2 linked regions of the Coturnix japonica genome follow. The protein of the gene in region 2 purifies or fractionates together with the protein of the main gene of each other region. This does not show direct contact. Links are inferred from orthologs where the notes say so. Each region holds a gene or a part of one and is shown on either strand. Other genes may lie near its edges.

The links. Proteins that work in one complex are often made in the same cells at the same time.
Region 1: the proteins of VCP (region 2) and PSMA4 fractionate together in Homo sapiens (co-fractionation; 5 studies listed by BioGRID, with this or other methods). This does not show direct contact. The link is inferred for Coturnix japonica from reciprocal best matches to the Homo sapiens genes VCP and PSMA4.

Annotation. Positions count from the first base shown.
Region 1 is NC_029525.1:2,859,992-2,863,738, forward strand, and holds the start of PSMA4 (proteasome subunit alpha type-4), read right to left. Parts: upstream 2,496-3,747; 5' UTR 2,378-2,495; intron 2,163-2,377; 5' UTR 2,138-2,162; coding exon 2,135-2,137; intron 1,971-2,134; coding exon 1,928-1,970; intron 1,906-1,927; exon of another isoform or gene 1,814-1,905; intron 1,232-1,813; coding exon 1,069-1,231; intron 1-1,068. Other genes in the region: HYKK (hydroxylysine kinase), read right to left, coding at 2,602-3,065, 3,177-3,360. UniProt on the Homo sapiens protein: Component of the 20S core proteasome complex involved in the proteolytic degradation of most intracellular proteins. This complex plays numerous essential roles within the cell by associating with different regulatory particles.
Region 2 is NC_029547.1:7,825,146-7,828,792, forward strand, and holds part of VCP (transitional endoplasmic reticulum ATPase), read right to left. Parts: coding exon 3,517-3,647; intron 2,064-3,516; coding exon 1,933-2,063; intron 476-1,932; coding exon 344-475; intron 1-343. UniProt on the Homo sapiens protein: Necessary for the fragmentation of Golgi stacks during mitosis and for their reassembly after mitosis. Involved in the formation of the transitional endoplasmic reticulum (tER).

The DNA of each region.
Region 1 (3,747 bases), on a different chromosome or scaffold from region 2:
ACCATATTGCAAGAGCAGAGGCAGATAGTGGGAAATAAGCAGGTCAGCACATCGTTGGCATGCAGCTGAGGACCATACCAAAATGATTAACAGTGCTGACACTCACAAGAGGCACTGGCTACACAGCAGGACCCACATAGAGGCCAGGCGCTGACCATATCAGAACCCATATGGACCCTCAGTGCAATCTGCTGACTGCATTCATATGAACATAATTTAGTGATACCAGCCATTAGAAAAGTAACTGCTTTAGCTGAAAATTCATCTTTGTTGTAATTGTTTTATTAGCTCTTAATTTAGCAGATCTTTGCCAAACCTCATATTGCCACAGAGCTTTCAGTACACAGACCATAACTGGCAGTTGTTATCTTAGCAGTTCCTCAGAACAGCTGGCCTGGGCAGCTACTCCAGTGCACTTCTTACATCACCTCCTTGAAAATCCAGCTCCAGCTGCCTTCAGGATAACACAGCATGGGAGACTGACAGATGAAAACCTACTGCTCGTGTTTCACAATGCACCTTACAGCAAGGCTGAAGCTCCACCTCCCCTACAGGCAAGACAGAGTAACACTGAACTTCTGGAGAAGCTAAGAAGCTCAGAGCAGTGAGATAAGCATCTCTGCTACAGCTGCAGCAAAATAAGCCAAAGCAGGTTTTATCCAATTTGTTTCAGTCTCTGAATCACAACAGAAAAAAAGAGACTTAAAAGGGAATGCTGAGCTGATACAGTGCTTGGATTTGTGCATTCTCTATTTCCTTCCTCTTGTTATTCTGTAAACCAAGAACTGCCAATTTAATATTGATGTAATATCATTACCCGGTATGGGTAAGTACCAACAGGTTATTGCATATAAGAAGTTCTCTTCGGAAATAAAAACATGATGCTTCTTCAGAAAAATCACTGAAGCAAATAACAATACAACAGCCCTGGATGCCTGGAACACGGCATAAAACTCATACAAACCCTCCAAACAAAACAAATCCAGGTTCAGTGCTAAAATGCTTGAGTAACAACAGTACTTAGGCACAGGTAGCACCAGCAGCCAGACAGACATCACTGCAACTTACTCGTTCAGTTTGTAGATTTTTTCTGAGAAGAAAACTTCATCGAGCAGCTTATGAATGTTGCGCCTCTCTGCAGCCAGCAGGACGCCGTCGTTGGCCAGGATGCCCAAGCAAGTACCTGCGTGCCCTATTGCCTCCATGGCATATTCCACCTGGTACAAGCGGCCTAGGAAACGAGTTACATCACAACACTGATAAGGCAGCACTGAATGAGACCATATATAAGGAAAGGTGAATTTGCAGGAGTTACACAGATGCCCATTTTACAGTTTAGGACTCGTTCCTTGGGCTGGGGCCAGCAAATGAGTTTTTAGAAACAAGTGCAGAAACAGAAAAGTGCCCTATCTTGATAAGGTAATCATGGGTGTAATTAGTGCAGAGAAGAATTACAGTTTAAAGAGTAGATGTACTTTGGAAGAAAGTCAAAATGGGCTTTAAAAAAAACAATGGAATCATTGATACTGGACAGGTTGTCTCTTAAGACAAAAAACATGACTTGTAACAAATCACAGCAGCACTAACAGTAACAGAACAGTAACAAAATCCATCCATGCTCCAAGGAAAGGTGAAGGGCAGTGACTTATTAAGGAACTCTTTGAGCAGTGGAATGTGGTGCAAATCCACAGGTGTGAATGGGGTGTGATCACACCGATGCCTGGATTAGATGAGGACTGGGAAGCCTTCGCTGTGTGGCTGTGGTGTGCACACAGGGCTATTCTGACAGGTGAATACGGTCTGTGCAACTCACACGGGGATGGACACACACTGCCAGCAACCAACCGGCCCTGGGATTTACGTGTTACGTCTGAGAGGAGGAACGGCAGGCAGACGGTTTAATTAGAAGCGTAGGGTTACAAAGTACCTTCCGGAGAAAATATGGTGGTTCTGGAGTCATATCTTCGAGACTGCAAGAAGCAACAGCTCGTTAAGGCCCGTCACCGTCCTCCCCAACACCGCACCCAACAGGAGCAGCTCCGAGGCGGCCCCACAACAGCCCCGTGCTGAGGTGCAATGTCGGTACCGCCCCCCCACCCGCGGCCCTCGCACACACTCACACACACACACTCACCATGGTGCCGGAGCGGCGCGGAGCGGGCCTGCAAAACAGCACAGCGCGTTAAGGTGAGCCGGGTGATCCCACACGGCCCCGAGCACAGAGCGACCCGCCCCATCCCCGCCTGCAGCACCGAGCGCCCCGGGCCCGGAGTGCGGAGTCATCCTCACACAGCCGAAGGGGGCACCAAGGCCGCACCGCCCGCCCCTCGGCCCCTGCTCTCACCCGCCCTCCCGCTCCCTCCCCCCCCTCACTCACAGCGGCCGGTATCGCGCTGTGCCGAAGCGGCGCTGAGGAACAACGGGCGGTTACACCGGGCGCTGCACAACCTCGGCACCGGCACCGCGCGTCGGAAATGGCGGCCGCGCCTGCGCAGTGCGTCACCCCCACGTGACCTCGCGGTCCCAATGGCGCCGCTGTGCGGAAGGAGCGCGGCTCCGCCATGTTTATGGCAGCGCCGCCATGTTTATTGCAGCCCCGCCTCACGGGGCGGTACCTCTCGTCGCGTACAGCGCGGCCGTATCGAACCACACCTTCTCCACCGCCTCCCGGCCCCGCGCACACATGTCCGTCAGGTGCTTCCAGCCCGTCCTGGCCGTGACCATCAGGTACTCGGCGTTCTCCGGGTACAGCAGCGCCGTGTGTGCCGCCATGACGAGCGACTGCGCGAAGCGGCCGCACACGAGCATGAAGAGCGCGGCCCGCTCCGCGGCCGACAGCGGCTGCACGCTCTCGAAGCCCGCCAGGATGTGGCCGCCCACACGGAGCGGCTCGGAGCTCTCGATCATCATGTACATGATGGCGATGGCCAACTCGAACACGTAACAGCCGTAGCTCATGTCGCTGAAGTCCAGCACGCCCGACACGCGGTACCGCGGGGTCGCCCCGTGCGGAGAGCAGGGAACCACCAGGATGTTGTGGTCGTTGAGGTCCCCGTGGTTGATACCTACACGGGAGCGACAAACGGTACTTAATAACTAATAACTAAGGTGTTTCCTTGGCTGCGACCCCGATCTCCTGGAACAAACTGTGACGTGATTGAGAATAAAACACTCACAAGCTCGAAAGCTGCTTATCTTGGGCGTGACTTCCTCCCTGAACTGCTGGATGACCCATTCCACAACAGCCCGGTGCTGGTTCTGGCCCAAGGCGCCCACGTACTGATCCAGCAGGGGGACGTTAGCCAGGTTCCAGATGAACTGAGCTCGATGCAGACTTGCTACTGATGGGTGATGGAACTTCTGCGGGAACAGAACAAAACAGGCCATGAGTTAAAATCTGTGCTGAATACCGACAAGTAAAAGTAGAGTCTGAAGGATTATTTCATCATAGAATCACAGAATGGCCTGGGTTGAAAAGGAGCACAATGACCATCTGGTTCCAACCCCCTGCTGTGTGCAGGGTCACCAACCAGCAGCTCAGGCTGCCCAGAGCCACATCCAGCCTGGCCTTGAATCCTGCAGGGATGGGGATCCACAGCCTCCTTGGGCAACCTGTTCCATTGAACAATAAGACTATTATAAGCCTATCAATACCTACATAAAACCTGAATGGTTTTCCTCCATTCTTCCCGTATAGATTATCCTAAACCCTTTGTCTCCAAATCGCTTCAAATCAATGGTGACTTC
Region 2 (3,647 bases):
TCACAAGCATTTTGACAAAGTCACTCTGAAATCATGATGCAACCTCATGCAACAGCTGCCATCCTATCATCAACAACCTGACTGCTTCACATGACACACAAACAAAAACCTAGCCAGTAACCAACAGCACTTATTCAAAACACCACTGTTTTACAGGTGCCAGTGCTTCAATCTGTAAAATATGTGAGGAAATTCTCCCCTCATACCAGCACTAAAAAAGACAAAAACAACACACAAGTTATTCCTCTTACTTATTCCCCTCCAGTATGTCCTAAGCCTCCTAGATTATGAGCCATCAGCAAAAGCAAGACCACTCATCCACCTGATGCACACAGGTCCTTACCTTCACCCCTATGGCCTTGAAGAGAGCAGGGTGTCGGAGAGGAAGTTCCACCATCTCTTTGATCTGAGCCAGCTGCTTCCGGCAGCCACCAATGTCATCATAACCCACCTCATTCAATGACTCTTCTTCATCCTACAAGGAAGGAAATGCATTAAACACTTGAGTGAAAACAATGGTTCAGCAATCCCTTCCCAGTTTCAGGAGTCTGGGCTTTTGCTCAATGTAATTTCTTTGTTGTTTTGAGAATCTCATTTTCAAGTCTTTCTCATGTCTTTCACATTTGTTTCTTAGCTCTGACTACCCAAACATTCAATGGCAATTCCCTGCCATAGGAAACCCCCGGAGACACCCACATGGACAGGGTCCACCCCATGGACCCCCACAGGGGGTTCTCAGCAGAACCCACCCTGCTGCATAACAGCCTGAAGCTAAAAAACTGAAATGTCCTTGGCTCCAGACAGTGTTTTTCAGCAACAACTATCATCAGAATTTACCAACATTGTTTTTATCCTAAAGCCAAAACATAGCACCATATCAGACACAATGAAGAAAATCAACTCTGTTCCAGTTGAAACCAGGACACTATAACATTAGGTCACAATAAAATCATTAATTAACATCACCTGGAATCTTAGAGGAGATCTCTAGGCTTTGCTGTAGGCTTTGGGAAACTTTTTCCTAGTATCTGCCTGGAACTTCTCTTGACTCAGCTTGTGCCACTGCCTCTAGTCCTGTCCCTGGTCACAGCTCTCAGAAAAGTCAGGCTGCCTAAAGCTTTCCACCTTGCCAGTAGGCCTTCTGCTGCACCTTTCCTACTCTAGGCTGCCCTATCTCGTTTATTTTGACCTCCAGCTCTTCATCATTTTGGTAGCCTTGGCTGAACCTGCTCCTGGTCTGCCTCTGTGGTGTCCTCATAAGCCCAAAGAGGTCTCCTTCAGTGTCCCATAACTGCTGAACAGAGAGAGGAGCTAAGCCGAGAACAGCACCCAGTCTGACTTGCAGCTAGTTAAAAGGTAGTCATGGCCAAATTATCCCTACTCCTGAGATTTCCTTTTCTATAAAAATAAAGTGGCCTATTCCTGATGGACCAGCTGCTCAGGCTGTCTTAAACTTCGGATGACCAAGGTTAGATATCTCAAGGGTTTGAAATAAAGTTAAAACAAAACCAACTGTTTAGAAATCTCAATTATCTCACTCAAAAAGCATTACTTGCTGTCTCCTCACGTGGCATGAAATTTAGCAACACGTTTAAGCCTTCCTGCTATGGATCAAGGGAACTTTGGAGTTAAATGATACATTTAATACCCATAAATTCCACTTAATGCCCAGCAATAGATACCTGGAACAGATGCAAAACCAGCTGCTACCAAATTATGGCCTAAGCATTAGTGTAATCCCAGTATCTGAAGGACAGTGGAAGCACATTTCTCCAACTACTGCCAGCATCAGCTCATCCCCTGGAAAGAGAGCTTCCAGAGGTTCATTCAATACATAAAATGCCATTCCCAGACCTGAAAACACTGTCACAGAGAGATTTCACAGGACAGACTGGAGTCAGTACAAGAATTGTGTGATAAGATCCTGCTCACCTCTCGTTTGATGGGCTCTCCTTCACAATGGATCACTGTGTCTGGAGCCACTATGCAGTAAGGGCTTGGATCTGTCTCCACCACTTTGAACTCCACTGCACGCATCCCTCCACGCACCAGGAAAATGTCACCTGTGAAAACCCACAATTCAGTATCCTGTTGCAACTGACATCCTCCAAAATGTCAATTCCTGTGCTATCCAGCAGCCTCAATGGACAAGGAAGTAGGCTATACATATATATGCCACTGGCATTTTTCATATTGCTCTGCATTTCAGACTTGAGAGCTACACACACTGTGACTATCAGGACATCACTTAAGACCTGTAGCAGTTTAATTTTCTCAAATTCATGCAGAAAAAAACAGAAAACAACAGAAAAGAATATTCCAACTAAGTACCAAACAATTAAACATAATTAATCATGTCTATTTTCCATTCAATTTCAATTTAGCTGTTTTAGAAATCCTTTTGTTTATGAAAAAAGAAAAAGCCCTTCAGATACTGCTGAAAAAAAAAAAAAAAAAAGGCAAACAGACTAATAATAGGGTCCAAAAGAAAGATTCTCATGTTTTTCTCTGTCTGCTTTAGAAACTAGCTATCAATTTGCAAGCAGTCAGCTCTTTTGTAGTGTATAGCCTAAGGGACAGTAGACAGTGCTACCACAAGTGAAAAGCCATGAGATAGGAGAAACCAAAGGCATACTGAAATGGTATGCCACCCTGAGCAACCAAAGGTTTTCAAGAAATATGCAGAGCTACATGAGACTCAATCCCAAAACAGGTGTTTTTTCATACAGCTCTCCAACTGCCTCACTTTGACTTCCATTGCTTTATGTTCGAGGACAGCTACTGCTGACTGTTTCACTATAGAAATTCACTCCAGCCACCATCTGTACACTGCTTTTGCTACCACTGCTCCAAACAGGTGATTTTCTGGAGTGGCTGTTCCAGTGCACACAAAGAAGTGCAAAGTCAATCCCTGAATGTCCTACTACCACCTACCAGCTCAAAGAAGAAATTCTATCCAGAAGCAACAAGGGAAGGAGCAAAAATCCCTAACATAATAAAAAACTTACTTTGAATTTATCTTCCTAAGTTGTTACTAGTTGCAACAACTGCTTGCTTCTAGTAGGATAATACATATCTGACTAAATTGGGCCACAGAAACTGGAAAACTTTATTCAGCCTGCACTTATGCTGTGTTAGGACCTTCTTGTTCCAGCAGATGTGCTACTAGCATAGCTCTAAAAGTGCAATTGGTTTTCCAAGCACTCTTTCAGTTATTGATTGAATTATTTTCAAGAAGTGAATTTAATTAGGGTGTCATCTGGCATATCCAACCAATTGCTTAATACAAAAGCACAAAAGCAAATACCCAATCCTGTCAAGTGGTAGCAACTTAGTTAACATGCTCCCATTCACTGTAGCAAAATAAATGAACAAATATCAGCATCAGTAAAATCTCACTCTACAGTTACCAGCCAGTCTGATGCCTTGTAGGTTTGTGCAAGTGCAGAGAAATTTTCTTTACTCAGTCTCAGAACTACAGCACATAAACAGGACTTCAATAACAAGTGCTGTTACCTTTCCTGATGGGTCTGTATGCCTCCAGGAAGTATGGTTTGAGATAGACCTCAAAGAGATTCCCTGTGATCCCCTCTACTGTGTCATCAATTGGCAGCACGTGGATACGTTTGCCATACTTCACATCTGGG